Lonchura striata: one gene and its partners. The protein of the gene in region 2 purifies or fractionates together with the protein of the main gene of each other region. This does not show direct contact. Links are inferred from orthologs where the notes say so. Each region holds a gene or a part of one and is shown on either strand. Other genes may lie near its edges. The genes, in order: LSM12, DDX6, MCRIP2 and MCRIP1.

Evidence for each region.
Region 1: the proteins of DDX6 (region 2) and LSM12 purify together in Homo sapiens (affinity purification with mass spectrometry; 5 studies listed by BioGRID and IntAct, with this or other methods). This does not show direct contact. The link is inferred for Lonchura striata from reciprocal best matches to the Homo sapiens genes DDX6 and LSM12.
Region 3: the proteins of DDX6 (region 2) and MCRIP2 purify together in Homo sapiens (co-immunoprecipitation; 5 studies listed by BioGRID and IntAct, with this or other methods). This does not show direct contact. The link is inferred for Lonchura striata from reciprocal best matches to the Homo sapiens genes DDX6 and MCRIP2.
Region 4: the proteins of DDX6 (region 2) and MCRIP1 purify together in Homo sapiens (affinity purification with mass spectrometry; 3 studies listed by BioGRID and IntAct, with this or other methods). This does not show direct contact. The link is inferred for Lonchura striata from reciprocal best matches to the Homo sapiens genes DDX6 and MCRIP1.

The regions. Positions count from the first base shown.
Region 1 is NC_134627.1:8,636,799-8,643,918, forward strand, and holds the start of LSM12 (protein LSM12), read right to left. Parts: upstream 3,032-7,120; 5' UTR 2,976-3,031; coding exon 2,855-2,975; intron 1-2,854. Other genes in the region: G6PC3 (glucose-6-phosphatase 3), read left to right, coding at 3,249-3,266, 4,407-4,633, 6,063-6,169, 6,293-6,383, 6,681-6,799, 6,878-7,019. UniProt on the Homo sapiens protein: Nicotinic acid adenine dinucleotide phosphate (NAADP) binding protein. Confers NAADP sensitivity to the two pore channel complex (TPCs) by acting as TPC accessory protein necessary for NAADP-evoked Ca(2+) release.
Region 2 is NC_134625.1:11,073,333-11,080,814, reverse strand, and holds the start of DDX6 (putative ATP-dependent RNA helicase DDX6), read right to left. Parts: upstream 3,045-7,482; 5' UTR 2,902-3,044; intron 1,310-2,901; 5' UTR 1,225-1,309; intron 975-1,224; 5' UTR 711-974; coding exon 511-710; intron 1-510.
Region 3 is NC_134618.1:2,610,960-2,618,798, forward strand, and holds the start of MCRIP2 (MAPK regulated corepressor interacting protein 2), read right to left. Parts: upstream 3,056-7,839; 5' UTR 2,977-3,055; coding exon 2,925-2,976; intron 2,846-2,924; coding exon 2,764-2,845; intron 1,162-2,763; coding exon 1,034-1,161; intron 832-1,033; coding exon 730-831; intron 1-729. Other genes in the region: METTL26 (methyltransferase-like 26), read left to right, coding at 4,632-4,828, 5,964-6,126, 6,223-6,282, 6,695-6,762, 6,969-7,047, 7,114-7,161.
Region 4 is NC_134621.1:11,909,747-11,916,914, forward strand, and holds MCRIP1 (mapk-regulated corepressor-interacting protein 1), read right to left. Parts: upstream 2,443-7,168; 5' UTR 2,354-2,442; coding exon 2,346-2,353; intron 2,273-2,345; coding exon 2,154-2,272; intron 2,065-2,153; coding exon 1,966-2,064; intron 1,859-1,965; coding exon 1,794-1,858; 3' UTR 549-1,793; downstream 1-548. Other genes in the region: PPP1R27 (protein phosphatase 1 regulatory subunit 27), read right to left, coding at 2,856-2,979, 3,103-3,253, 4,213-4,396. UniProt on the Homo sapiens protein: The phosphorylation status of MCRIP1 functions as a molecular switch to regulate epithelial-mesenchymal transition. Unphosphorylated MCRIP1 binds to and inhibits the transcriptional corepressor CTBP(s).

The DNA of each region.
Region 1 (7,120 bases), on a different chromosome or scaffold from region 2:
CTGCACCACCACCACTGAACCAGCTCCCCCAAATTTGCTCTTTTTCCACCAGAACTCTCTCCTTCCCACAGGCAGAAGGTCCCGGGGAGCATTCCCTGCTCTGGGAGGAATTCCCAGCAGAGGGATGCATGAGGTGGGTGGTTGGAGCTGCTGTTGGGAATGAGACAGCACCCCCAAAAAAACACCACCCCTTCCAGAGTGGAGAGAATTCCTGCACAATTCCTCTGCTCCCGGGAGGGTGGAGGGACGGATGGATGGATGGATGGATGGATGGATGGATGATGGATGGATGGATGGATGGATGGATGGATGATGGATGGATGGATGATGGATGGATGGATGGATGATGGATGATGGATGGATGGATGGATAGATGATGGATGGATGGATGGATGATGGATGATGGATGGATGGATGGATGGATGGATAGATGAATGGATGGATGGATGGATGATGGATGATGGATGGATGGATGGATGGATGGATGATGGATGGATGGATAGATGGATGATGGAGGGAGGGAAGGATGATGGAGGGATGGATGATGGATGGATGATGGATGGATGGATGGAGGGAAGGATGATGGAGGGATGGATGATGGATGGACGGATGGATGGATGATGGATGGACGGATGATGGATGATGGATGGATGGATGGATGGATGGATGGATGGATGGATGGATGGATGGAAGATGGATGGAAGATGGATGGAAGATGGATGGATGATGATGGATGATGGATGGATGATGGATGGATGATGGATGGATGATGGATGGATAATGGATGGATGATGGATGGATAATGGATGGATGATGGATGGAAGATGGATGGATGATGGATGGAAGATGGATGGAAGATGGATGGAAGATGGATGGAAGATGGATGGAAGATGGATGGAAGATGGATGGATGATGGATGGATGATGGATGGATGGAGGAAGCACAGCATGGAGAACCTCTTCCATGCCAGCACCATCTCCTGGAAGAGATCCCCATGGAAGGCCCTGCTCCTCTCCCAGCCCCCTGAGCACAAGGTGGAGCCCCCCCAAAATCGCCGCTCAGTGAGCAGGAAGCCAGGGAATTCCATCCAGCTGTGGAAGAAGAGCTGGATTTTGGGAAGGGCCCAGCCCCCCTGGGGCCGACAGGCAGCGCTGAGCAACCTGTGAGACCTGCTGGGACTTTCCTCCAGTGGGACCCGGCAGCTGCCCTGGCTCCAGCCACATCCCAGGCACCCAGGGGCCCTTCTCCTGTCGTGCTTCCCACAGCCCAGGCCACAAAAGCCTCTCCCAGCCCCCCAGTCCCTGCAGAAGCCACCCCTGTGTCCCCAAACCCACCCCTGTGCCCCAAACCCACCCTGGTGCCCCCAAACCCAACCCTGTGCCCCCAAACCCACCCCTGTGTCCCAAACCCAACCCTGTGCCCCCCAACCCACCCCAGTGCCCCCAAACCCACCCCAGTGCCCCCAAACCCACCCCTGTGCCCCCAGCCCACACCTGTGCTCCAAACCCACCCCGGTGCCCCAAACCCAACCCTGTGCCCCCAAACCCACCCCTGTGTCCCCAAACCCAACCCTGTGCCCCCAAACCCACCCCAGTGCCCCCAAACCCACCCCTGTGCCCCCAACCCACACCTGTGCTCCAAACCCACCCCTGTGCCCCAAACCCAACCCTGTGCCCCCAAACCCCAGCACCAGCCCTGAGCTGAGCTTTCCCCCCACCCGGGGCCCCCCAGTGCTTCCCGAAGCCTTTCCCCGTTCCTTGCAGGCTCCAAACAAAACCAGATCCACGTCTATTCCTACTGGGGAGGCCGGGACCCCCCCACTGCCCCCACTCACCCCAATCCAGCGCTCCCAGCCCCCCACAGTGAATGCCACACCCCCACTCACCCCACTACAGGGTTCCTCGCTGCCCCCCCAAAAAAAACCCTCCAGGACGGCACAGTCCGCCCCATCCTCCCCAAAACTGGGTGCTCCTGTGCCCCCCTTCAAGCCAGTACAGGGCTCCCCACTGCTCCCATCCCTTTATAATCCAGGACCCTCATTCACCCCAAAACGGGCTCCAAATCCCCCCATTCCCCCCTAACCCAGGCTCCCCAATCCCCCCAAAACCTCCGTGCCGGGCTCCCCACTCCCCCCTAAGCTCTTTATAATCCAGGACCCCCATTCACCCCAGAATGGGCTCCCAATCCCCCCAAAACAAACCTCTCCGCTCCCCCCAAAACCTCCCTGCCAGGCTCCCAACTCCCCCCAACCCTTTAGAATACAGGATTCCCTAAGCTCTTTATAATCCAGGACCCCCATTCACCCCAAAACGGGCTCCCAATCCCCCCGTTCCTCTCTAACCCAGGCTCCCCAATCCCCCCAAAACCTCCCTGCCGGACTCCCCACTCCCCCAACCCTTTAGAATACGGGATCCCCTAAGCTCTTTATAATCCAGGACCCCCATTCACCCCAAAACGGGCTCCCAATCCCCCCAAAACCTCCGTGCCGGGCTCCCCACTCCCCCCTAAGCTCTTTACAATACAGGGCCCCCACTCACCCCAAAACGGGCTCCCAATCCCCACATTCCCCCCTAACCCAGGCTCCCCAATCCCCCCAGAACAAACCTCCCCGCTCCCCCCAAAACCTCCCTGCCGGGCTCCCCACTCCCCCCACCCCTCGGGGGTCTCCCCGCTGCCCCTCAAACCCCTCCCTGTCGCCGCCCACCTCCATCCCCTCGCAGCCCTTCCCCTCCTTCGCCCCCTTTCCCCTCCCTCCCTCACGCCCCCCCCCCCCCCCATCGGGCGGGCCGCAGAGGCCCGAGCGGGCCGCGCCGGGGCCGGGAGCAGCGGCGGCGAGGCGCGGGCGGGTGGATACTGAGCGCCAGCATCTTGCTGGGGTAGTCGAAGGCGACGACCTCGCCCTGGAGGCGCTGCTCCTGGCAGGTGCGGCAGGACACCTGGCTGCCCACGCTGAAGTACTCGCCCGGCGCCGCCATCTTGTCCGCCCGCAGCGCCCGCGGCTCCGCTCGCCTCGGCCAGGCGCGGCGGGGGCGGGGCCAGGCGCCAGCGAGGGCGGGGATTGGCGCTCCGCCCCGCCGATCTGCTCCGCCCCGCGCGCTGATTGGCCGGGCCCGCCCCCCCCACGCGCACCCGGGCGAGGTTTGGCCCTCCCGCCCCGCCGTAGCGCGGCGCCGCGCGGGCGGTGCTGGGAAGTGTAGGCGGAAGAGGGCGGTGAGAGCGGCGGGAGGGAGCGCTGAGGGGCGGCCGGGATGGAATCCGCCCCTCAGGTACCGCCCGCCGGTACCGGGGCTGGGCAGCGCCTCCGGGAGGCGCAGGGGCCGCAGAGCCCGCCGGTGGGGACGGGGAGACCGGGGGTCTTGGTGTAGGGAGAGCCTAGGGAGGCCTCGGGCCTGAGAGCCCAGGCAGGCCCAGAGGGAGCCCAGAGGGAGCCCAGGGATGCTCAGGGATGTTCAGGGATGCTCAGAGATGGTCAGGGATGCCCAGGGATGTTCAGGGATGCCCAGGGATGTTCAGGGATGCTCAGGGATGCCCAGGGATGTTCAGGGATGCCCAGGGATGCTCAGGAGCCGCTGCAGGGAGAGCCCAGGGAATCCTCAGGGAATAGCAAGGGAGGCTCCAGGGAGAGCCCAGGCGTTCCGCAGGATAACCACAGGACAGGGAAACCCCAAGGAATAACAAGGGAGGCTCCAGGGACTCCCCAGGCCTTCTGCAGAACGCCCACAGGAGCCCCAGGAGGTCTCCAGGGAAGGCCCCAGGGCGGTGGTGGCTCTTTGGAGCATCTGGGCTGCTACAGCAAATCCCACAGCAATCCCTGGGATGCTGCCCCGGCCCCATCCCAGAGCCAGCAGAGGCGTGTCCTGCCCCCGGGCAGGGGCTGGGCACCCGTTTCTGGGCAAGCTTCAGGTGGTCAGTGAGTGCCTGAGCCAGTGCCAAGGCACCCCTGGGGTCCATGGGGATCCATTCCCCTCAGTGCCAAGGCACCCCTGGGATCCATCCCCTCCCACGGCATCCCCATGAGATTCCCAGGGATCCGTCCCCGTCTCCATGGGATTCCCAGGGATCCATCCCCATCCCTACGGGATTCCCAGGGATCCCACCCCCGTTCCCAAGGGATTCCCAGGGATCCATCCCTCCATCCCCATTCCATCCCCACGGGATTCCCAAGGATCCATCCCCATCCCCACAGGATTCCCAGGGATCCATCCCCTCCCAGCCCATCCCCAAGGGATTCCCAGGGATCCATCCCCGTCCCCAAGGGATTCCCGGGGATCCATCCCCGTTCCCAAGGGATTCATGGGGATCCATCCCCATCCCCACGGGATCCCCGGGGATCCACCCCCTCCCAGCCCATCCCCAGGGCACTCCCGGGGTCGGTGCCCGGGCTGACCCGTCCCTGCTGTGCCCAGCCCGGTGCCATGGAGGCCCTGCACGAGGCGGGGATCCGCGCCGCCGTGGCCCTGCAGGCCGGGCCGGCCTGGCTGGAGCGCTTCTGGCTGTTCCTGACGTCCCAGCTGGATCCCAAATCCGTCTACACCGTGTTCTTCCCGCTGGCGCGCGCGCTGGGCAAGCACGTGCCACCGCTGCTGCTCTGGATCGCCCTGCTGGCCGAGTGGCTCAACGTGGTGCTCAAGTGGTGAGGGGCACACGGGGGGCTCCCCGCACCCTGCCGGGGGCTCGGGCACAGACTGACCCCAGCCCGGGCACAGACTGACCCCCAGTTTGGGCACAGACTGACCCCAGCCCGGGCACAGACTGACCCCAACCCAGGCACAGACTGACCCCCAGTTTGGGCACAGACTGACCCCAGCCTGTGGGGTTTGGGCACAGACTGACCCCAACCCGGGCACAGACTGACCCCCAGTTTGGGCACAGACTGACCCCAGCCCGGGCACAGACTGACCCCCAGTTTGGGCACAGACTGACCCCAGCCCGGGCACAGACTGACCCCAGCCTGGGGGGTTTGGGCACACACATTGACTCCCTGCCTGCCTGGGGATTTTGGGGCACAGACTCCCAGCTTGGGGCATTCCGCAGGGTCACCCCAGCCACCCTGAGCAGCCGCCAGCAATTCCGGGCAGAGGAAAGCTCAGGGGGCATCGGGGCTGGCAAACGATCCTGATCCTCTGTGGCTTCATCCTGGAGATGGGATTGTCCTGGGATGGGCTGCAGGGATCCTGCTGGGATGAGCTGCAGGGATCCTGCAGGATCCTGCTCTCCTGGATCCCAGCTCGGGCTGCAGGGACCTTGCAGGGATCCTGCTGTCCTGGATCCCAGCTCGGGCTGCAGGGACCCTGCAGGATCCTGCTGTCCTGGATCATTCAGGATGAGCTGCAGGGACCCTGCAGGGATCCTGCTCTCCTGGATCCCAGCTCGGGCTGCAGGGACCCTGCAGGATCCTGCTGTCCTGGATCATTCAGGATGAGCTGCAGGGATCCTGCAGGATCCTGCTCTCCTGGATCATTCAGGATGGGCTGCAGGGATCCTGCAGGGATCCTGCTCTCCTGGATCCCAGCTCGGGCTGCAGGGACCTTGCAGGGATCCTGCTGTCCTGGATCCCAGCTCGGGCTGCAGGGACCCTGCAGGATCCTGCTCTCCTGGATCCCAGCTCGGGCTGCAGGGACCCTGCAGGATCCTGCTGTCCTGGATCATTCAGGATGGGCTGCAGGGACCCTGCAGGATCCTGCTCTCCTGGATCATTCAGGATGAGCTGCAGGGATCCTGCAGGATCCTGCTCTCCTGGATCATTCAGGATGGGCTGCAGGGATCCTGCAGGATCCTGCTCTCCCGGATCATTCAGGATGAGCTGCAGGGATCCTGCAGGATCCTGCTCTCCTGGATCCCAGCTTGGGCTGCAGGGACCCTGCAGGATCCTGCTCTCCTGGATCATTCAGGATGGGCTGCAGGGATCCTGCAGGATCCTGCTCTCCCGGATCATTCAGGATGAGCTGCAGGGATCCTGCTGGGATCCTGCTCTCCTGGATCCCAGCTCGGGCTGCAGGGACCCTGCAGGATCCCGGCCCGGCTCTCTGGGCTTTCCCAGCCCCGCGCTGTCCCTGCCGCAGGTTCCTGTTCGGGGAGCGCCCGTACTGGTGGATCCACGAGTCGGGGCTCTCCAGCCGGGAGCAGCTCCCGCTGCGCCAGTTCCCGGTCACCTGCGAGACGGGCCCAGGTGAGTCCCGGCTCGGCAGCCCCGGGAGGAGCCCCGGGAGCCCCGTCCCGGCGGGAGGAGCCGTTCTGAGCGGCGGGGAAGGGCTGGGCTCGGCAGTGCGCCTCTCCTGTGCTTCGTCCCCAGGGAGCCCCTCGGGGCACTGCATGATCCTGGCGGCGGCCCTGTGGCCGGTTGTCACCGCCCTGAGCGAGGAGGTGTCCCGGTGCACCCGGAGGTGAGTCCGGCACGGGCAGGGGCAGCGCTGGGGATGTGGGGCAGAACCAGGGGGAGAGGCAGGACGAGTCCCGGGATGGAGACACCGTCCCTTGGGAGCTTCCAGAGTGGAAGAGGGGGTGGATGTGGGACCCCAGCGCCCGTGGAGGGTGATGTGGATCCCTTCCCTCGCTGCAGAGCCGCTCCAGGGGACACATCCCTTCTCTGGCAGCTCGGGAAGGGGCCGGGAGAGCCCCTGAAGCCCCCCAGCAGTTTTAGTTGCCCCGTTCAGCCGTGCTTTCCTCCCGTTCCCTCCCAGCCGGCTGCTGAGGCTGACCCCGTTCCTTGCCTACATCGTCCTGCTGGTGGCCATGGGGCTCTCCCGCATCTTCGTGCTGGCCCACTTCCCCCATCAGGTGGTCACCGGCTCCCTGGCAGGTGAGGGGGGCGCCGCAGCCTTTCCCCGGGCCCCCTCCCGGTCCGTCCCAGTGCCGACCCCGCCTGTGCCCCCGCCAGGGATGGCTCTGGGCTGGGGGCTGCAGCGCTGGCCCCCCAACTTCCTCAAGTGCCGCTTCTTCCTGCTGACGGCTCTGGGGCTGCTCCTGGGCGCGCTGGCCCTGCACGGGCTGGCCACGGCCGCGGGGCTGGACCTGGACTGGTGAGAGCCGGGGGACGGGGGGCAGGGGGGTCCCGGGTGACAGGGGTCTCACAGGGGACAGGGGTGTCACGGGGGAAAAGGGGTCTCACAGGGGAAAAGGG
Region 2 (7,482 bases):
CCTCTCAGCTCAGACTTTGATAAATTAAAGCCAGAGCATTACAATGAGGAGATCAGGAACTACTATTTCAGATCAATAACAGAAGATAACTGACTTTAAAGCATTTTTCACCATGGGAAAGAATTACAATAAACTGAAAGGCAGAAACAATTAGACTGAGACCAGGTGGCATTTCCTCCTCAGTCTTAAACGTCAGCTCAGTTCCCTCCCACTCCTATACTTCCTTCTTGCACCACTTCCAGCAAGCAAAAAACACAGGATTCAAAAGCTGGGCTACCTCTGACAGTGGCTCACACTCAGAAAAGCACAGGACCAAATTGGATTTTCACAAAAATTACTGTTAAAGAGAGAAGCTCACATGTGGAAATACTTGTAATGCACATGACAGGACACTTCTAACCACCCATGTGACAAAACAGAAGGCAGCATTTTCAAAGTGGGAATCCAAGAATGCTTTCCCATACATAACTTCTAAACATTCCTTGCATGGCAGCCGATACAAACACTTACTTAATAGCGGTGGTCATACTCTGTGCTTGCTGTTGAGTGCCATTATTGATTGTGTTGGCATTTTTCAGCTGGTTCATCTGTTGCTGAGTTTGTGTGCCTCCACCTCCTGGGCCCCCGCTGGGTTTTACAGGGCCTCTCAACTGCCCATTCTGACTGGATAGACCCATTATAACAGGGTTCTCTGTTCTGGCCGTGCTCATGCTTTTATCTTTAAAGATGTCTTTTTAGACTTCAAAACTTTGAAAGTCAGTACAGAAACTGTAATAACAGTTTATTAGACTCTCCAAAATGAAGAGATAAATAAGTCTTGCTCAATATATGAGTCCTTTATTGCAATGCAGGCAAGCACCTGTAAGTCACTCAAAAGTAAAGCAGTAACTTGCTCTGATGCACTGTGGAACAACTTTTTTTTAAAAAAAGCCCTCTATTGAAGTTCAGTTATATCACAATTCACTTGCTTCAATCTGAAAGAGAAGCAGACAATAACAATTAGCATATGGATTTTTCTCTGTGCAAATCACATCAGTTTACTTTTGTATTTTAAGAAAAATTTCTTCCAGACTGTGTGCAACAACAGTACTTGCCGTTTTCGTGATAATTATAAAGACATGCATCAAACATTTTTTGTCTTTCTAGAAAATGTTGCCTAACATCTTCAGACATCAAAGAAAACTTCCCAAACAGCTGTACTTTCAGCGACCTTCCACTACCTACCCCCTCTGATAAAGTAACCATTAAGTGTATCAATTGCTTTGATGGCTCTCCAATTCCCCCACTTCCGTGATGCAGCCAACCAGCCCTAAAACGTGAACAACAATATTATGCGTAAATTTGTGACAAGAAGCAAGACTACAATATCAAGCGGACATTCCAGTTAGAACTGACAAAACCCTTACATTATAAACTAATTGCCCTGTTTGGTTTGAATGGGAAATATAGATTATGCAAACCAAACCAACAGCTTACATTCCTCCAACCCAAAATGCTAGCTCAACCAGCTTACCCCCAGTTTTCAACCAGGTATTGATTTAAGGCTATTCAGAAGAGCGACAAACCAACACCATTACACTGAACTGAGAGCAGCTGCCTCTTGGAGTCAAAGCCACTGAGCTTGAACTGAGGCAGCAACGCTGCTGGTTCCCCAGCTTCTTGCTTGTGATCTTACCTTCCCACTGTCAGCAACAACTTGTGTGGTCCTCAGAAGATAACATTTCATACACATGACTTAATATTGACACTGTATGTAATAGAGAGGTTGCAAAACTATGGAAAGACAACACGTAGTCTGCCTCTTACATAATGCAAGTATGGACCAGAGCTAAAGACTCCTTACAATGATACCAGGGAGACAAAACGTCCCTAGTCCAAAATCTTTTGGAATGAAAAGTAGGCTCGCCTTGAGCATCTGCATCTTGGGAAAACACAAAGGGAAAACCAGCAGACTACTGCTTCCTAACCTCTGCATTCACAACAAAATGCATGTCTTCCCTGTGAATAAAAAAGCATATTGAAGAGCATTTCAAGAAAGTGGAAAAGGAATTCAGACTTCCCAGCTGTTTTAAGGTGTGTTAGTGCTGGCTTCCAGCAACATTGGAAAGTTTGCGATACTAGGATTTTCTGCTAGTTAACTTTCAAGGCATCTTCGGAAAGATACTTCTTTTAGCAATTAACTTCGTAAAAACCAGAGGAGTTACGAAGGCAGCCAGAGACGCCAATGAGACCCGACTACTAACACCGATAAGTTCTCCAATGGTGTAGGAAATGAAACCTCTCAGTCCCTTATGCCTTCAAGCTCGTAACTATCCTTTTGAAGAGCACAGGTTAAAAAAACCGCACAGTCTCACGGAACCCAAAAAAATCTCCCTGTTCCGATAAAAAAACCGCCACCATTTTGCAAACCAACGGACTGAAAAAAAAGGGCCTCCGTCGCATATTTCTGCTCTCCGGGCGCAGGCGGGCGGCCAGGGCAGCAGCTCCGGACCTCTCCCTTTCCGCCGGCTGGGCCCGGCACAAAGGGAGCCCTCGAGGTGCTCAGCGCGCCCGATGAGCCCGGGCCGCAGTGCAGAGCCCCGGGGCAGAGCGGCGGGCCCGGCGCCGCCCGCCGATCGCAGCTGCGCCACACCGGCACCTCCCGCCCGCGAACAATGGAGCGGCCGCCCCTCGCCGCCCGGGCCGGCGGGGAGCGAGAGCCGCCCGGCCCCGCCCCCGCGGTGCCCCGGCCCCGCCGCTCCGGTGCGCCCAGGCCCGGTCCGGCCGTCCCCGCCCCGCCCGCGGCGTCGCCAGGCCCCACTCAGGCCCGCGCTCTCGCCGCAGGCCGCGAGGCGCGGCCCGCCGGCAGCGGCCCCCTCACCCTGATCCCACGGAGCCGCGCCCGCCCTGGCCCGTGCTCACCGCCACCAGCCGCGCTCCCCCTCGCCCAGGTACAAAATCCTCTCGCTCCCCCGGTGCCTTGTTATGGCGACTCGACGCTCCAAGATGGCGGCTTCCTCCTTCCTCCTGTGCGCCCTCCCCCTCCCGGCGGGTGGCACCGGCCCCGCCCCGGCCCACACGCACACGTACGTACGTACGTACGTACGTACGCACGCCCGTACGCTCGGCGTGCGTCACGCCGCACCCAGCGCGCTCGAGGGCGGGCCGCTCGTCCCCTCCCTCAGAGCCGGCCCTCCCCTCTGACCCGGGGAGCTGACCGGGCTTTGCCGTTAAAACAGAGCCAACACAAACCTAACAACGGGGGTCTGAGCCACAGCCTGCAGGAGTCGTAACCGCCGACCGTGACAAGCTGGGGATTGGCATTTCTCTTTAGATAGCTGTTACTTAGATGTGGATTTTGACAAACCGAGACACAGTGGGAATGTAATCTTAGTAGTGACTGCTTTGCAGACAATTTTTTCTTCAAATGTTTTTCCAAAATACATGCAAAAGGACAGGGACATTCCTGGTTTTATCTAGTTCCTCACAGCTCCAGCAGTCTGTAGGTGGTTGTCTTTCCACCCTCAGCAGCAAAAGGCACAAGCTCCACCCTCCAGTTGTAGCTGATTGCAAACATCCTTCCTGGCCTCTCGTCTCCCAGTGATACCCCACTCCTCGCCTTGCCCCTCAGCCCTCGCAGCACGGGGTTCAGGACAGGGCTTGCTCAGTCTGTGCTCTGCCTGTGAGTGAGGCACAGTGCAAGCTCCCTGTGGCCTCCCTCCGGGTCTGCTGCTCTCCATCCTGTCAGCAGAAAATGCCCAGGAGCTGATGAGCACCTGCAGGTGCACACAGAGGTCCTCACGGTATGGGAGGACAGCGACATCCTCGGGGCAGCTGGTGCCCAACAAGTCGGGGTCTAAGAAACAGGAGTGGTGTAATCCAGCAGTGCTCATGGGAATAACACCACCTTCTCCTTCACAAGTACAAAGTCCCACCAGAGTCCTTGCTGGTAGAGACGCCTTGATGCAGCTGTACCTAGACGAGAGGAGGACAAAAACTGTGCTTGGCAGACCACCTCAGCTCCGCGCACAGGTAAAGCTTTCTGCCAAAATGCCAGCTGCAATGCCAACCTACTCTGCTGACCCAGACCACTGTGAGTCTGTTGCTGTGACATCACTGAACAAAATGCCTTTCCCCAAGCAGAGAAGATCTTGATTCTCCTTACTTACCCTTGTGAAGTCAAGCTGCCTAGCCCCTGCTAGCCCTGCTCTAGACTTGCAGAGTAGCTGCAAGGCTTTGCTTTCCTGTGCAAGCCACCTCACACCCCCCCCCCCCCCCAAGCCCAAAGGAGGGGTGAAGCAGCAGAAGGAGGAGCAGAAGACCACTACAAGTCAGTGGGGTTAAAGCAGCCAGGAGGACCCCAAGGCAGAGGGTGATGATCATACAGACCATACCCATGCTTCAAAGTCCTGCACAGCTCCAGAGAAGTGCCTGGATCCAGGAGGTTTCTGGTAAGGGTGGTCCTTAGCACAGAACTTTTCAAAGCCTTTTGGACCACCTGTAACAAAGACAGCTGTGGGCAAGGTTTCCAAGGAAGACCTAAATATGTTCTGGATCTTCTGTGGTATAGATCAAAGGAATAGGGACTCTTCAAACTCTACTTTAAAAATCAATTACAGCACTAGTAAAAAGATTATAAAGCTAGATGTTAATCTTTACATCAATCAGGTCACTCTATGCCTGGAGCTCATTTGCCTTGCAAATACTCTATTGTTACAGTCTGTGTCCCTCCCCACTCACTTAAATTGTTAACTCCACCTCAGAAAATAACTTTTGCAGCAATTTCTGGAGGAGAGACGGATCGTGCCCCTCAAACCATGGGGCCTGTCAGCTACTCATCAGAGACCTATGACTTGGTGAGTTGGGCCTGGCTTTGCTTGATAACAGGGATGGCAGGTAGAGCTAGGGTGGGCTGAAAGGCCAGATTTCTGGCCATCCATCTTCTAACCCTCCTGTTGGCAGAGGCAGAGCTTGAGCCATTTCTTATGCCAGCATAATTAGTCCTTGCATCCCTTAAATCCAGACTTGACTACAAGCTGTTGCTTGCAGAGAGCTGGCGTAGTGTGGCTCCAGCCTGTGATGCAGGGATGCTGGGTATTCTGTTGGGGAAAGCTAACGGAACCTGTACTAGCAAGCACTAAGCCCGAGTACTGTCCTTTCATGAGGACACAGACCAGAGTCTCTGCAAAGGGTCAGGAGTCTCTGCCAGAGTGGGGCTCCAGCAGTCCCATCCTGTGCTGCCAGCCTCTCCCTGCCTCTGCTTCCTGCTGCCCTGCTGTCTGCACAGCCATTAGCACAACATGGGCATAAAACAGTTATTCTGAGCCAGGAACCTTTTGCACCAGGCTTCAGTAGTACAAATGACTGTGTACACAGTGTGCAAAGCCCTGTACACCTTCTCTGGTCTCCTTTGACAACTGGAATACCCAAGCAAACCCAGTCTTCTCTCTACGTGTGTAAAAACCCTTGGTATGGTATGACCACCCTGCTTACTTGCTCCACATACAGGCTTCCATACATATGGCTCCACATATACTCTGCTGAAAGGGGAACACGCAGTGTATTTACAAGACAGGATTAAAGAGTGGGAGATAGATTGCAAGTACTACTTCTAACAGAGAGTGATGACACTAGGTATTCTACCTTAGTTCTCTTCCCAGCCTTTACAAGTGAAAAAGAGCAGCTGTACCTTATACAGTATGTTGTGCTATCCAACGGGAAGAACACAGCAGCATTATCATTAACCTGGTTATCAAATATTGCATCTCAGAATTTATTTTTTTACTACAGTGGCTCCCTGCAGCAGACCTCAGGATTAATTATTCCAAAAAGAGAAATGTTGGATTCAATTGTTACCTGATTTTCTGTTCTTCCTTTTTTCCTACACACCAGGGAAGAGCAAGCCCTACCCTATTTATTTCTTTTCTGATTCATCCAGTATAAAAACCCTTGGCAAATAGTGGTCATTCCTTTAAAACTCTTTTGGAGAAGACACTTCTTTCCCTGACCTCTGTTGAAGTTCAGTGGCAGCGCTAAAATTTCCTGAGGGGTTAAAACCAAACTCAAACCTTTTTCATCTCATTTTCTTTGCATACAAAACTTACATAATCCTTAGCTTTGTGATTTTATCTCTGCTGTGAATTCTTTTACATAATAAAGAAGACCCCGTGTGAGTGGAGGGTTGGGTGGCAGAACCCAGCTGATTTTAGGACTAAACACCCACAGTCAGGTGCCACAGCAGGAAGAGTTTTAGACCTTTTCTCAGACTTCTGCAGTTGGGAGTTTGATATGTGTTGTTTCCCACCTCTGTCTTCTGGCAGCTTCCCAGATTTGGCTCCCTCCCTGGAATAGGGAGGCCGCAGATATCACATGAGCATCAATGTATTTGCTTTGGTGGTGGCATATGTTGCTTTACTTATACTCAGTGCTTGTAGCAGCAACCTACCCATAAAGATTTGAAAAAAAAGGCCTCCAAAGTGTCTTGTCAAGGTGGCAACACAAACTCTGCCTTGTGCAGAGAGGATCGTTTGATCAATTGAGCAATTATGGAAGGAAAAATTATGAGAACATTTACACCAAAAGGGCATTTATCTCAGTATCACACAGTGAATACAGTGAGGGCCTCACGTAAATTTTGTTATCATATGAGACTTTTGACTCTGTAACCTTGCAGAAAAGTACCGTGTCCAAAATGATAACCCCATTTCTCCATAGCAAAAATGCTTTGCCTGCTAACCTTCCTCATCTGCGGACTAGACATCCAAAAACAAGTTGCAGAAAAACCACTGAGATCTATACTAGGTTCCCTGAGGTTCCTTGGCCCAGTTTTCATTGCAATGGGACCACCATGACTCAAGAGCGTTAAGGCACCTACACTGCAGTAACATGTAATTTCCACAGGCCTTGGTCTTATTCCTGGATTTCCCTGGTTCAGCCCCTGCAGAAGTCATGAGCAGAAGCTCTGTCAGTATATTGTATTGATGTGGGCAATTACAGTTCTGAGGTTTTCAAAATGAGATTTGCTGCTCCCAGCCCTGGCATTGACTAGAAGGGAATGATTCACATGGAAAATCCGTAACAGTGGACAAGCTGCTTCACTTCTACAGCCAAATATTTTGATCGCTGACAGTTGTGGGGAACTGAGAAAAACAGCTGACAAAGGGAGACCAGAATAACTCTGTGATGCAGGTTATAGGGTAAAGGGAACCTCGACCAAAAAGCATGCAGGAACAGTTTTCCCAGGCATGCACTCAATTGCTCTATTACAGACAACACTTTTTCTTCCACCCCCAAACCTGCTGCAATTGTCATGCAGGAGACCTGTACAAAGGTCCCTCTGCATGCTCACTGTTCACTTATCCCATCCCAGATATGGCAGCCATCCACTTCCAGTCCTAGAATTGCAGCAGAGTTCCCAGAAGCCTCAGCTTGCCATATTCAGTAGATCTCCTGCAGCTCTGGTTCCTGCCCTTCCTGTCTCAGCCCAGACTCTGATTTTTCATT
Region 3 (7,839 bases), on a different chromosome or scaffold from region 2:
AAAAATGACCACAGAATCACAGAATTTCCTGAGCTGGAAGGGACACAGGGATCCTCCAGTCCAGCTCCTGGCCATGCACAGACACCCCAACAATCCCACCCTGGGCCTGACATCTTTGTCTAAACACTCCTGGAGCTCTGGCAGCCTTGGGGCTGTGCCCATTCCCTGGGGTGCTTGTTCAGTGCCCAGCACCCTCTGGGGGAAGAACCTTTCCCTGATATCCAATCTAATGACACCCCCAAGCCTCCTCCACCTCTGTGCCATGTCCCCAAAAGGCCAGACTGGGTGTACAGGAACATTCTCTTCCTTGGGGAGTTCTCAGCTGCTGCAAGAACCTGCAGGTTGCTGACTCCGGGTGCCACCAGACAAGTGTTGTCCCCATGCCCAATTGTTCCTGCTGGCCCCAGGAGAAGTGGGTTCCACAGGTGCCTCCTTTCTCTCCAGCATGATCCTGAGCCCCTTGGTGGCAGGAGAAGGCCTGAATGCCAGAGGAGTCAGCAACAGAGTGGAACATCCAAGGGACGCAGTGCAACATCCCCACCACAGTGCCTGGGGCCAGCTGTCTCCCCCCAGCACCCCCAGAGTGACCCAACCAGCCCCTCTGGCACGTCCAGCACTGGAATCCTCCTTGTCCTTCCACCACAGCTCTGTTCAGATGCAGACTGAGCCCACAGCCACTGCACCCCGAGCCTGATGCACCCCAAAGTGCCACAACCACTGCCCACTTACTTTTGAGTCCGGGGTTGGGGGTTTTCTCCACATACTGCACGGGGCCGCAGGCGCTCTCCCCGCTCCGGCTGCCGTCCAGCTGCTGCTCTACCTGCTGCCAGGCTGGAGAGGGGAACAAGCGCTGCATGGGTTTGGGATGGGGGTCCCCAGTGTGGGGGGCTGTGGGACAGGAGCAGGAGGTGGAGCAAAGGAGGGCAAGCCCCCAGGCCGGGGACTCCATGCCTGCCACCGATGTCCCCGGCATGGAGGGACTCCATCTGCTCCAGGTCCCCTGGGTGCTGCCCCAGGGACCCTCTGCCCTCACCTTCATAGACAAAGCGGACATTCTCCTCGTGGGCCAGGGTGTAGCATTCTTCAGGGGCTGAGATCTGCTGCAGCAGCAGGGGGGGCCTCTTGCCGTTCACTCTGTTGAAGACGAGTTTCTGCACTGGACTGTGGAGGAGGGAAGCAAAGGGGGATGAGGGCACAGGCAGCTCTGCGCACCCCAGCAAGAACTGGGGTGGTTCAGGTGTCCTGGGCTCCCCCACGGTGCACACACTCACCCACAGCTGTGGTCACCCAGCCTTGTCCTCAAGGACTGGGATGGAAAGGGACCCAGCCCCCAGGGGCAGGGGATTCTGACACAGGAGGGGTGCAAGGGGAGCTCCCTGGGGAAAAGCACCAGCTGCCCATCTCCCACCCATCCTGCAATCTAGCACCAAGTGCAGTCCCTAAGATAAAGAATCTGCCACTAAAATTGCAGGAACATGAGGAAATGGAAGTGAAATCCAGTCAGGTACTGGACAGAAGATGTGCCATCTTCTGCAGATCAAGCACTCAGGTTCACTGGAACAGCTCTGGCCCCAGCATGGGGCACACAAGGCGCCCCAGGACTGGGATGTTACATTCTGAAAAGTACGAGCAGGTCAGGCTTCCTCAGAGCTGGGATGCCCTCTGCTGAGGGGCACTTCAACCACTCCCTCCCTGGATGCAGCAACCCCCACCAGAGCTAAAGGAAAAACTTGGGATGAGACTTGGGAGCATGTTCAGTGCAAAACTCCAGTATTTTGGCTTTTCTGCTCAGCTCCAGGGCAGGACACGTCTGCAACAGCCACGTTCCTCATGGGACAAAGTCTAAGAGGCCCTAGGAGTGGGTTTGGAGGGCAGGAGAGACTGGGAGCAGGCAGCTCCTGCAGATCTGCAGGCAGGGGCTGGGGAGGGCAGTGACATTGTAGCCCCCACATCCAGGGGCACTGGGCAGACAGGAGGAGGGCAAGCATGGCAGAAGCCACTCCAGTGAATTCTAGAGATCCTGGAAAGCAGAGGGACTGGCGGGGGAGGCTCATCCATCCACTTCTTGGAGCTGGAGAGGAGGTGCAGAAACAGCGGGGTCCCACTATCCTGTCTGGGTGTGCTGTGACTCCAGCCCTCAAGTTTGGAAAGAGTCTCCTTAGGGGTCCCATCACCACCCCCCAGCCACTGGAATACCCCACAGCACCCAGCCAGCAGCTCCAGGTATTGCTGCGGGACACAAATTCACCCAGCAAGTGTCGCCCTTGCTTTTGGGGCAGAGGGGATCGCCAGCTCCGCGTGGGCTCCGCGGCCCCCGTGGGTGCGCGGCGCGGCCAAGCGGGCGGGCCCGGCGCTGGCCCCGCCGCCCGGTTTGTGCAATCGGGGCCGGCGGCGGGTGGGGGTTGCGCCAGCGGCCCCGCCTCTGCCCCGCACCGGGACCCCGCCGCGCCGCCTCCTTGGCGTGACCCCCTGGGCCCACTCCCCGAGATTTTTGGGTACGGCCCGTGGGAAGGAGGGGGACCGGCGCTCCGGTGTGTCCTGGACGCGGGGCTGCCCCGGCACGCGTGCACAGAGCTCCGCGGGACGCGTGCGGGCACAAGCAGCGCTGAGACCCCCGGGGCGAGCGGCACCGAGCGGAGAGCCCGCGTCCCCTCCCGCGTCCTGCCAGGCGGCCCAGCCGTCCCGTTCCCCTTCCCCTTCCCAAGGTCAAGCGGCGCGGCCGCCCCAGCGCCGGTCCCCGTCCCAAGGTCAAGCGGGGCTCACCTGGCGGGGGGCCACGGGCCGGGCTGCGGCCGGCCCCGCAGCTCGCCCAGTTTGCTGCTGTCCACCGCCTGCTGCGTGGGACCTGCGGGGAGCGCGGGGCGTCAGGGGGCGGCGAGGGTGGCAGCGAGCCCCCGCGGCCCCGGCCCCGCGCCCCCCGGTACCTGTGCGGCGCTGCGTGGCGAGCTTGCTGGGGCCGCGCGTCAGCGTGTACATCCTGCGGGCCCCGGCCCACGGCCCTGCCGCCCCTGCCCGAGTGCCTCAGGTGTCCCTCACCGGGCGTCAGCGGGCTTCGCCGAGCCAACCTCCGGGCACGCCCCCGCTTGAGTTAAAGGGAACGCGGGGGAAGCGGTGGGACGCGGCGACAGCGCGCGGCCGCTCGGGGCCGCGGGGGACACGCGCGGGACAGGCCGTGGGGACACGCGGGAGGCGTGCAGGGACACACGCGACATGTGTGCTGCGTAAGGGACGTGCCTGGGTTGTGGGGACACGTCGGGGACACATCGGGGGCGCGCGTGGGGATTAATGGGGACACGCAGGATGAAGGAACATGCACTGGAGACATAAGCAGGGCGCATATGGGGACTTCCATGGGACACAGAGGGGACATGTGGGACTCGCACAGGACGCACAGAATGCACACAAGGGACATTGGACCGTGCGGGGCTCAAGTAGGGGAAAGGGCACAAGCAGGCACGTGGGACACAAGATGGCACAGACGCGCAGAGGACACGGGAGTCACGGGAAACTCGGGGGGACCGGCACGGGGACATGCAGGAGACAGGACACTGGAGCCACGGCACACACAGGGGACAGACAGGTGTCATTCCTGGACCCCGGACAAAGGACCCAGGCAGGGAAAAGTGAAGGGGCGCAGAGGCAGGGGCTGAGGTGCCACCCCCACGGGGACAGCGCCGTGAATAGTCCCGAGCTGCACGTCCCATGACCAGCGCAGGGAGCCGGGGCGGGCAGCCGCGTCCCGGCCAGCGCCGTAACCTTTGGAGCGGGGACGTCCCGCCAAGGTGTCCGCACGTGGCAGGAGGTGCAGACCCAGGACACGACCCCGAGCTGGACCCCGGCCACCCCGCAGTGTCCACCGGCCGCCCCTGTGGCTGTCGACAGCACCCGGAGTTTTGGGGAGAGATCGTGTGATAAACACGAGGGTGACCTTCGCCTTTCCGCCACGTTGCCCCGGTAGCGGCCAGCGAGGGAGGCGTGTAAGAGGGTACCTCCCATAAAAGCCCAGCAGCGCCTGACCCTGGTGGGTGCCAGGCAGGAGCAGACCTTTTGGGGGTGTGCATCCACTGCTGTCACCCCCAGCCCTGTTATTGTGCCTAAAAACAACCCTGACCCATGGGATGTCACTACTGGCATGTAACGTGCTGGCGGCTGTGCCTCAGTTTCCCCGCAGACCTGCCCGGGGTTTCTAAGTGCCTGTTGGCGCACCCCTGACCTTTTCCACGCTTGGAAGGCCTGAACCCCTAATCCTTGTGCTCTAGGTGGATCCCTCCGGACCTCCATCACCGGTGACTGCTGTCGCGGGAAAGGGCGGGTGGGGGTCCCCCCTCGCCTCCGTTTTCCTGGGGTGCCCGCGCAAAGCCTCGCTTTGTCCCTTTCGGGGGTGCCGCTGCGTGGCGGCGGAGCGGCGGCGGCCGGGCCGGGGTCCCGCGGGGGCGGCAGCTCCGAGGGGCGGCGGGAGGCGGCGGCTGCCGGCCGCGCCGCTGGTGTAGTGGTATCATGCAAGATTCCCATTCTTGCGACCCGGGTTCGATTCCCGGGCGGCGCAGTTTTCTTTCTCCTTCCCCTGCCGTGGGGGCTCCGCCCGCGGCGCGGGGCGGGCCGGGAGCTGTAGTTCCGCCGCCGGCCCGGCCATGCAGGTCCCGGCGGCCGCGGAGCGCAACAAGGGCCCGATCCTGGCGGTGCTGCGGGAGTGCGCGGGGAGCGGCGCGGGCGCGCTGCGGGTGCTGGAGGTGGGCGCGGGCGCGGGGCTCCACGCCGCGCACTTCGCCCGGGCGCTGCCGCAGGCGCGCTGGCAGCCCTCGGACATCGACCCCGGGGCGCTGCGCAGGTGAGCGGGGCCGGGGGTCCCGGGGGGACGGGGACCCCGGGGGCTCCACCGGCACCCCTTCCCACGGACCATGGACCCGCGGCCCCCGCTCTCTGCTCCCCATTTTATTTATTTATTTATTTATTTATTTCGGGGATTTTGGGAAAACACCAGCGTCCGACTCTCCTGCAGCCCGGGCTCTCCTGCTTAGTGCTTTGTTCCCTCCAGGAGAACCCCGATATTCAGCTCTTGGATGAACTGGATGCATATTTTTTCCCAGTAAAGGCCTACTCAGCAGTGGGCCCAGGCTCCACGATTCTTTTATTTTTTCAGGAAAAACCCAATAATCGACTCTCCAGCAGCCCAGGCTCCCCCACTTGCTGCTGTATTCTTTCCAGGAAAACCCCAATATCCTGCTCTCAGATGAGCTTAATGTTTATTTTTTCCCAGCAAATACCCCCTTGGACAGTCCAGACTCTCTGGCTTGATGCTTTATTTTTTTCCAGGCAGACCACAATATTCAAGTCCTGCCCAGCCCAGGCTCCCCAGGTCAATACTCACTATATTTTCTTCAATAAATCCCCAATAGCCAACTCCCAAACAACTCATGCTTCCCAGCTCCCCAGCTTTATTTTTCCCAGAAAACTCCCAAAATTCAGTTTTCCACCGCAGAAAAATAATTAGCCTGGTGGGGAGGTGCTGGTACCAGCTCCTGTCCAGGAGGAGTTTGGTGCTGCCCACCCAGCAGCACCCACCACCCTGGGTAAAAATAATCTCCAGGCTGGGAGGCTGCAGGAGCTGAGACCTAGGTGGTGAATGTGCCAAAAAGGACATAAATAACAGCAAAATCAGGAGGTGCTGGTGCAGTGGTGCCCGTGGGGTGCCCCACAAGGGGACGGTGCTCCAAAACTGGGGAGGTTTGGCCCTGGGGCCTCTGTGTCCACATGCTGCTGGTTATCCAGGCACTCCCAGTTCTCCATCTGGCAGCTGCAAGCAAAGGGCTGGGCAAGGAGCCCCAGGCTGTGCTGCACCCACGTCCCTTTGTGGGTGTTCCTCCACTTCTGAGAGCCCACGCAGGGCTTTGTCCCTGCCTGCAGCACCTGCTGGGGGGCACGGGGCACCCGGCTGGGCCTGAGGCGGGGTTTGGTGCCCACAGCATCGCTGCCTACGTGGAGGCTGCAGGGCTGCCCAACCTGCTGCCCCCCATCCTGCTGGACGTGTCCCAGGGCTGGGAGACCTGGGGGGGCACCCAGCCCGCCTCCCTCGACCTCATCGTGAGCATCAACATGATGCACATCGCAGAGCTGCGGTGCACCGAGGTGAGCAGCCCTGACAGCCCCTTCCCCTGCCAGGCCGAGGGGGCTCCCAGGGCGTTCCCCAGCCCCCTGACCTGGTCCCCGCCTCTCGTTCCCCAGGGCCTGTTCAAGGGTGCTGGGGTGCTGCTGAAGCCTGGAGGTGTGCTCTTCACCTATGGGGTGGGTCACCTGTCCTGGTGCAGGAGCATCCTGGGGGTGCAGGATGCCAGAGTGGATACTGGGGGGGCAGGTGGGAGGGCAGCTGCAGTCACGGCTTAGGGGGAGAGCTGGAAAATGCAGGGGCTTGGCTTCTGGGGGTCTCTGCCTTTTTGGGCACATTCTGAGAACTGAAAAGAGCAGTTTTGGGGGAGACAGATCTTGTCCTCCCTCACCTCATCCAAAGCAGGGTCTGGGGGTGCCTGCAGTGGGTGACGGGACTCACAGTGCGTGGCGGGACTCCCTGGGGGCTCTGTCTCTTCCCGCTTGGCTTCTGTGCTTGGTGGGGACACAGCAGTGTCCGTGGAACCGGAGCTGGGGTGGAGGAGGAGGCACAGGGTGGCTCCTGCCTGCAGCTCCAGCTGTGTCCCACCAGCCCTATGCCGTGGACGGCCGGATCAGCCCCCAGAGCAACGTGGACTTCGACCACAGCCTGAGGCAGAGGTAGGAGGGGGCTGGGGAGCTCAGGCTCCTGGGAGCCCATCCCGTCCTCTCTGTCCCCCCCTGCAGCCGCAGGAAGCTCCCTCCCAGCGTGGTCCTTCAAGATAAGCCACGCCTGAGGGCAGCCCCCCAGCCGGGGGTGCCCCTGGTTGATGGGGCTGGTTTGGGGCGGGGTGTCCCCGGGGTGACCCGCGCCTCCCTCCCCGCAGGAATCCCGCCTGGGGGCTGCGGGACACGGCGCTGCTGCAGGAGCTGGCTGAGGCCAACGGGCTGTGCCTGGAGAGGATGGTAGGTGATGGGCGCTGGGGGGCTGCCCGTGCGGTGTGCACCCCCGAGCCCGCTCTGTGCTTCCAGGTGGACATGCCGGCCAACAACAAGAGCCTGATCTTCCGCAAGCTGTGACCTGCCCTGGCGGCGCTTCCAGCGCCTCCCAGCGCTGCTGTCCCCACTGAAGCCTCCTGCGGTGTCGCTGTCCCACCATGGCTGCCACTGGGGCTGGGGACAGCAGTGATGGGACGGAGCCCCACTCACCCCAGCTGGGGCTGACTTGGCTGGAGGGGGGGTCCATCTCCCCTAGTGCCCTTGGAGCTCCCTTTGCAGTGGGGTGCCCCAGCCTGGACCACAAGAGCCAGCACAGCTGCTGTGGGGGACACAGGTGTGTGTGGGGTGGGGGCACACAACACCCGTGGGCATGGGGGAGACTCCTTGCTCCATTTCCTTGGAGGATCTTGTGCTGGTGGTGTTCCCCCTGCCCCCCTCCCCAGGATTGTGCTGCTGCCTCCGCAATAAACTCTGTGGCTTTGCCCCCCATGCCCCAGTAGCTCCCTGATGTTTTCAGCACAAACACTGGGGTTGGGTGTCCCCAGTTCCACCTCCAGCACCAATGAAAGGGCCAGGTCCAGCACCCTGGGGTGTTACACTGGGCCCAGAGGCTTTGGTGAAGTGGGAAGATTTTATGAGTGGGGTGGTCCCAGCAGATCTCCCACCCCTCTGCAACCCAACTCAGTTCTCGATTGCTGCTGGACAGTAATTGGGGGGGGGGGGTCACACAGTGGGGGGAACATGCGGCAGATAAATTAC
Region 4 (7,168 bases), on a different chromosome or scaffold from region 2:
CAAAGAAGTCAAAGGAGAGGGGCTGTGACAGTAACAATCATCACTCCCTGTCCCCCACTGCCCACAGCTTCCTGTCCCCTACTGCCTGCAGCTACAGGGATGCAGGGCCTGGGGTGGCTCGGGAGGCAATAGGGACTGAGTTCCCATCTTGCTGTGCCAGAACCAACAGCACCAACAGCAATGTTTTGGCAATGGGAGGTAAACAGGGTCATGGTAAGTGTCATGATGCACTCAAGCAGAAATTCAAGCAATGCTAAGTATAGCCTAAATGCCATTAAAGCAGGAGAGGGAAGAGGATACAAGGGTATTAATAGTCTCAACATTTAAATCCTGGGTGCAGTGACAGCTCCTGGGATGCTGGCTGCCCGGAGCGCTGCCCAACCAAGGGCACTGAGCCACTGACACGCGGCACCTGCCCGCAGGGAAATCAACAGCCCCAGCAAGTGCAAGGCCAGGGCCCTTTTGCGAAAAACAAACACAGCCCCTGCTCTCTGCCCCTTGTCCACACCTCAGAACTGGGCCAGGCTGCAGCACCACACCAAGGCAGCCCCAAAAGGACACCAGCGTTTATTTACAACACTCCTCAAGTGACATACCACAGTAAGGAAAGGGTACAGTACAACTCAAGGACTCAGCAAAGGAAAGGAATTGGCAGCCCCAAGTCCCCGTAGCCTTCCCCACAGCCACTGGTACTGGGCAGGCCTGGCAGCCCCATCCCCGCCAGCTCGGAGCACAGGCAGGCAGGGGGCTGCCACACTTCCCCATGGAGCAGCCCAGCAGTTCGGGTGGGCTAAGTTGACACAGTCACTCTCTCTGGCCCAGGCAAGGATGCAGGAGCTATCCACGCAGTGCCAGGAGCAAGTGGCTTAAGGAAGCGCCCCTGGCGTGGTTCCACCACCTGCAGCCACCCAGGGCAAGCTGAGGGGCCAGGTAGGTCTCTTCCAGGGGTTGCCTATCTGGAAAATGGTGTTAGTACAAAACTGCAGCGTTGCCAGAGCAAGGAGCTCCCGAGCCTTGCTCTGTGCAGCCCCATGGCTGCTCCCATGGCCACTGTCTCCTATGGGGCTGCAGGTGGCCCAGGTCCCTCTGAGCACCCCTCAGAAGCCTGGTGCAGGTGATGACACTCCACCTCTCCATCTGTAGGGAAAGGAACACCTTTCCCTCCAGCACCACAGGGACCAGGTCTGATCTAAGCAGGTAGAAAATGTGGCCTCAGATGTAGCCCACGTGCTCTGGCAGCAAGCAGCCCAGGCAGCACTTGCTGCCACAGTGGAATTGGGAGGAGTCTGACTATGGTCTCCCAGCCCTCAGCTGCACAGTGGGGCTGGACAGGAGTTGCCCCTGTGTCTGGAGGCACAGGAATAGACTCAGCTGTGCCACCTGCCCTCGGCCAGCCCCAGCAGCGGTGGAGCTCCAATGCACAAGGGAAAGCACGACCCCATGCTGCCTGATCCAACAGCGCATCTGCCTTGGCCCTGCCCAGCCTAGCACAGAGGGCAGCGACAGGAGGGGAACAGGGGATCGGGTTGCTCAGCATGAAGTAGGGAAGAGCAGTTTGAGGTGAGAAAAAGCTATGAGTGGGGGGCTGGAATCCTTTGCAACAGGCTCTGGGCAGTCTCGGTGAGGCCCTAAGCATCCTCGACCTCAGGCAGCTTCAGAGCCAGCCCCAGAGCTGACTGGCTCTACCATGGACTTTTAGAAGGACAGACCAGAGGAGGAAATCAACACAAAATCTCGAATTAAATCTGTTTGAGGAGCTCAGGTGAGCAGCCGACCCGCAGGGAGGACCCGCTTTAGGACTTCTTAGCATCCTGTGTGCTCCTCCTCTTCAGATCACCCAGGTCGACGGGTTTAAACGCTGCAAGGGAGACAGGAGAGACTTTGGGGGCAGAGGCAGCACAGCCTTCGCCCGGCGCGCGCAACCCCCGGGCCGACACACCGGCGCGGTGCCCCCGTCCCGCGCACCTTTCAGGCTGGGGTTCGGCATCTTCTCCACGTATTCCTCAACCAGGCCGCGCTCGGAGCCCATCTGGCTGCGCAGGTCGCGCTCCACGCACTGCCAGGCTGCGGGGACAGGGACAGCGCCAGGGGCCGCTCGCCTCGGCCGCCCCGAGCCTCCCGCGTCCCCACCCAGCGGCCGCCGCCCCGCTCACCCTCGTAGATAAAGCGCACGTTCTCCTCGTGGGCCGGCGTGAAGATCTCGCTGCCGGCGCCGGGGGAGCGCGGGCCGCCGCTCCGCTTTCCGTTGTACACCACCCGGGACACGGGGGAGCTGCAAGCGGAGCGCGGGGGGAAACTGAGCCGGGCCCGGGGCCGCGCTGGGCCCGGGGCCGGGCGGGGCTCACCTGGCCATGTTGTCAGCGGCGCTCGGCGGGGCCGGAAGGGGCTCGGCGGGGCCGCGGGAGGAAGGCGAGGCGCAGGGCCGGGCCAGGCCGCGCGGCGCCCCCCGCCCGTCGCCGGGCAACGCGCGCCCCTCACCTGGGCCCTCCCGCCTGCGCCACCCGCACAGACGGAAGCGCCGCAGCGCGCAGGCGCAGCCCCGCCCCCTACCGGCGGCGGCCACACCCCCGCGCCAGCCCTGCGCGCGGCGCTGGCCACGCCTCCGCCCGCCAGGCCCCGCCCCCGGCCGGCCCGGCCCCGGCCCGGCGGCACCGGAGACGGCGGCGGAGACGGCGCCGGAGGCAGTGACCGAGATGCTTTATTGGAAAAGTACAAAGTGGTTCCCGATTCGCAGTACCGAGCGCTGCTGCCTGGCCGCCGCCCGGGCCCAGCCCAGGCGCAGCCCCGGCCCTCGGCAGGCGGAGCCGCCTGGCCGGCCCCGAGGCGCTCGGGGCCGCTTTTCGCCAATGCCCGGCTCAGCGCAGCACGGTGGCTCCGAAGAGCTGCACCAGGTCCTCGTACTGCGGGTCGATGAGGTCCGACGGTTTCTCCCCGTCGTCGGTGGTGGCCTCCAGGCTGGCCCCGAGGGACAGGAGGTACCTGCAGGACGCGGAGCTGAGCCGGCGGGCCGGGCAGCCCCGGGGGCAGCGGCGGCACCGGGCAGCCCCCGAAGGAGCCGCACGGCCGCCGCTGCAGCGCGCCGCGCGGCCCCACAGCCCTTACCTGGCTATGTCGGCGTAGCCGTCGCTGCACGCCATGTGCAGGGGCGTCCAGCCGTTCTCATCTCTCTGGTGGATGTCAGCGCCGTATTTCACCAGGAGCTTGACACAGTCCAGGTTTCCCGTCAGCACGGCTTCATGGAGGGCTGCCATGCCTGAAGGGAGAGAAGTGTTAGCCCTGGCCAGGGCAAGAGCTCTCCGTGCTGAATTCACGAGTTGTGCACAGCTCAGGAAAGGGGTGCAGGAACTGTCCTCAGGGAGAGGATTGTGGGGAAAGAAACAAAGACTGAGAAAGCCAGAGGAGCTGCTGTGGGTTCCTATTGCCATTCTGCAGCATAAATACCCTGTCTGGGATGGTGCAGCACCCATTGCCCCAGCTAGACAGGACAGAGAGAGGGAAGTGGAACTGCCCCTTAGAGTCCTGGACAGGACTGACATGCAGACATGAGAAGGGTCTCTCGCATCGTGCTCTGCCTGAGTTTCAGAAGCTCATCACTAACAAAGAATCAGTATGGACAGAAAGAAGCTCAGAGTCATTTGAGCCTCTGTCTCCATGGCCTTGTGAGAGCAGAAGCTGAAGCCAAGCACAAGAAAAGGACAAATCTGGGCTCTGCATCAGCCTGCAGAGATCACGGCATTCCATTCCATTGCTGGTGAGGCTGTACACACAGAACACAAAGCTTTCCCTGAGTCCCCAGAGGCAGACATACTAAAGGGAGCAGTGGCTGTGAGAAACAGGCAGAACCAGGAGCAAATGCAGATCCCCCAGTCAGGGGAAAAGGCAGGAGCTGCAGGGTCCTGCCCGCAGCTCACAGCCTGTGCTTGCTGCTGCCCTTTGAGGTCCCAACACATTGTAGGTGCTCAGTGGTGCCTTAAAGGGACCCAGAGGCCAAGCTTCCTCTTTCCACAGCATGTGCTGGCTGTGCTGTTGAGGGCAGATTTTGGGGCCTCGGCCTGGGGCTCTTGCGCCCTGCTGGGCACTGCTCTTGCTAGTGAGGGGCCTGGCTTGCTGCAGTCCTGCTGAAGGTGGCCCACAGCCCAGCTCGAGTGTCCCTCACAGCCCCACCAAGCTGTGCCGCTGCTCTCCCCAGCTCTGCCCACCAGCAGCACTCACCAGAAGGGTAGATGGTGTCCAGTGTCACCTTCCTGGCTCGTATGAACCTGCCCACCTGCTCCAGGTCCCCCTTCTTGATGTGGTCCTGAAAGACGACGTCGTTGGGGAAGTGCACGGTGCGCGAGGCCCTGAGCCGTGGCGTGTACCGGCGGTACCGTGGCCCCAAGGGGCAATAGTCCCTCATGCTGACCGCAGCCTCCAGGCACAGCGGCGTGGGCACTGCTCGGCACGCGGCCCAGCCCCTCACTGGGCTGCCTCCTCTTCTGCCCGTCAGGGGCCCTCCTCACTACGGATGTGTGCTGGCCCCGCAGCGCTGCGCTCCTGCTGTGCCCCCGCCCGTGTCCGTGTCCCCTTGCCACAGGGAAGTGGCAGCCACCGTGCTCTCCTGTACTCCCTGAGTCACATGCAGGAGGTGGCGCCTGGCACTTGCAGCTCACCTACAGGCCCTTGGCCCAGGACTGTTGATTCTCTGGGAGCACCACGTTATAAAGACTCCCTGGGCTATTTTGGGGACATGCAGCTCATGCTATTTGCCATGATGCTTCGTAATCGAACCGCCCAGGCCTGCAGCCTCCCACTTTTGGGCAGAAGTTGATGTCTCATCTTACCACCCACCTGTTGATGTGCCCCATCCAAGGGGTCAAATCTACTCTTGCATGGGTAGCCCTACAGGGGAGCCTGGAAGCAATTTCCCATCAACTCAAATCCTTCTGGGGGAAGGGGCATGGGCACAACCAGCAACACAGGGAACTGGCCGCTCGTGTCCCAGTTGGCTAGTGCACTGTGGGTGTGCCAGGGCCATGGGCACAAACACATCCAGAGCTGTCACCCTCCTGTTGCTGCAGGGGACAACCTAAAAGGAGCCGGAGGAGTTCCTTGCCCAGCACAGCTGTGACAGCACAGCCCAGCAAGGAAGCACAACTTGAGTGCCAGATGTCCCCTGTGCCCTTGTGAGGACAGAGGTGCTGCTGGTGATCCCAAGACAGGCACAGAACTAGAAGCCGGCACTGCTGGTCCCTGGTGTTCCTTGTCCTCCTCGAGATAGGGAAGCAGCTGCTGCTGAGGGCAGGCTACTGCAAGCAGACTTAGAGGAACAGCAGAACAGCACCACCATCAGACAGCTTCTGCCTCTGATACTCTCCAGCTACACTGTCATGACCCAAAACAGAACCATCTGAGAGAAATCATTCAGGTCCACCATGGGTTTAAGCAACCACTGTTTTCTCCCATCAAAGTTTGGGCATGTCAGACTCTGAAGCATTTTGTGCTCTGTCATGCTGATGGGGATTGTCCAGGTGGGTGTGTCAGAAAAAATCCCTGTGCTGCTTTAAGTCAGGGGTTTCACTCTGCCCCTCCTGCTGCAGCCCCTTGCCCTGACCCCAGCAGCACAGTCAACCATGCACCTTACAACTCCTGCACTTGTTTATCTGCTGGCCAATGCATTGATTTCTTGGCCAAGCATCTGCTTGTGCTTAGATGAGCCTGAATATGGTACGGGGCATCCAAGCTCAGTACTAGGGACTTCCAGCCTGCTTTCTTGGAACAGCAATTAGGCATGTACATCAGATGGCTGCTAAGCTCCTGCTCTGCCACAGGGAGCCTTGGGCTAGGAAAGGCATCTCCTCTAAGCTGAGCTCAGTGAGTCTCTGCCCAGGAAGAGGAGAGCCACTGCAGAGCTCAGACTTGGTCACAGTTCAACTGGCTGTGCAAAATACATCTATTCAAATTGAATTCTAGACAGCATCTTTCACTGGAACTTTACTAGTGAGATTCCCCTCCTCCCCACTCCAAAAGACAAAGCAGCTGTCACCAACCAGCCCAGGTTACCAGCACTGCTGGGTTTGTCGAGGTGCAGCAGTAGCCACTGCCTACCTTCAGTCAGGTGGGGGCATGGCCCTGGAGGGAGGCATCTTCAGAGGTCTACCTCCATGTAACTGCAGGTTCTGGTCTCACACACACCTGGCTGCTGCTCTGACAGGCACAGCCCTTCCTGTTCCCATGGTCAGTGGGGACCTGCTCAGCTCCAGCCCTGGGGCTGCTGTGCCCAAAGTTTGGGAGCACCACGGGCTCTGCTGGGGCACAGAAGGCTGGAGTGGGAGACAGACATAAGTGTTGTCCAACACCCGTGCCACTGCTCCAGCACACATCCCACTCCTTGAGACACAGAGGTGCCCCCATTTGTCCTCTAGCCTCAACATGCCCTCCTGTGACATTTATAGCATATTTTATAACCAAAATACCTTCAGCAGCAAGCAGCAGGTTTGGAAATAGCACCGTGGCTCACAGGGTCATGTGAGCCTGACTAGCAGAGCCACAGCAGCCCTGGCGTGCCCTGAGATTCACTGCTCCAGAGCAATGTCCCCTCAGCCCAGCCAGCTGGCCCAGGGGGTGCACAGTCTCAGAGCCAAACCACGGCCCGTTCACTCCTAACAGAGCACCTGCACAAGCCCATGGAATCCAGACAGGACATGAGCATTGGGATGTTATTTTCCTTTACTAATTGGAGAAAGTGACACACACACCATTGCAGCAGAGTCCCTTGAGAATCATCCTACAACTCTGACCCCTCCTTCCAGAGAAGGTTCAAATAAAGAGACAAAATAGTATTAAAATCTCAACTTTATTTGGCCATCAAATTCAGTACCAATGTTATTGTAGCAGAATGCTAAGAACCAGCCTGATACAGCTCAGGCCTGTGAGGCACTCCCTCAGTCACATTCCCAAGCCCCAGTAATTGCAAATGTCCTGTTTGATCTGTTTATCAGACCCTCCCCCACCACCCACCTGCCGGGTTAACCCACTCAAAATAATTCATGAAAGGGATTGCAACTCTTGTCTTTGATCAAAAGGATGTCAACACAGCTGGTGAGCCATCAGCCATCTCCACCCTCAGAGCCTGCCACAGCCAGTGCACACAGTATTCCACCCCTCCAGGAGTTTGGAACAGTCATCTCCA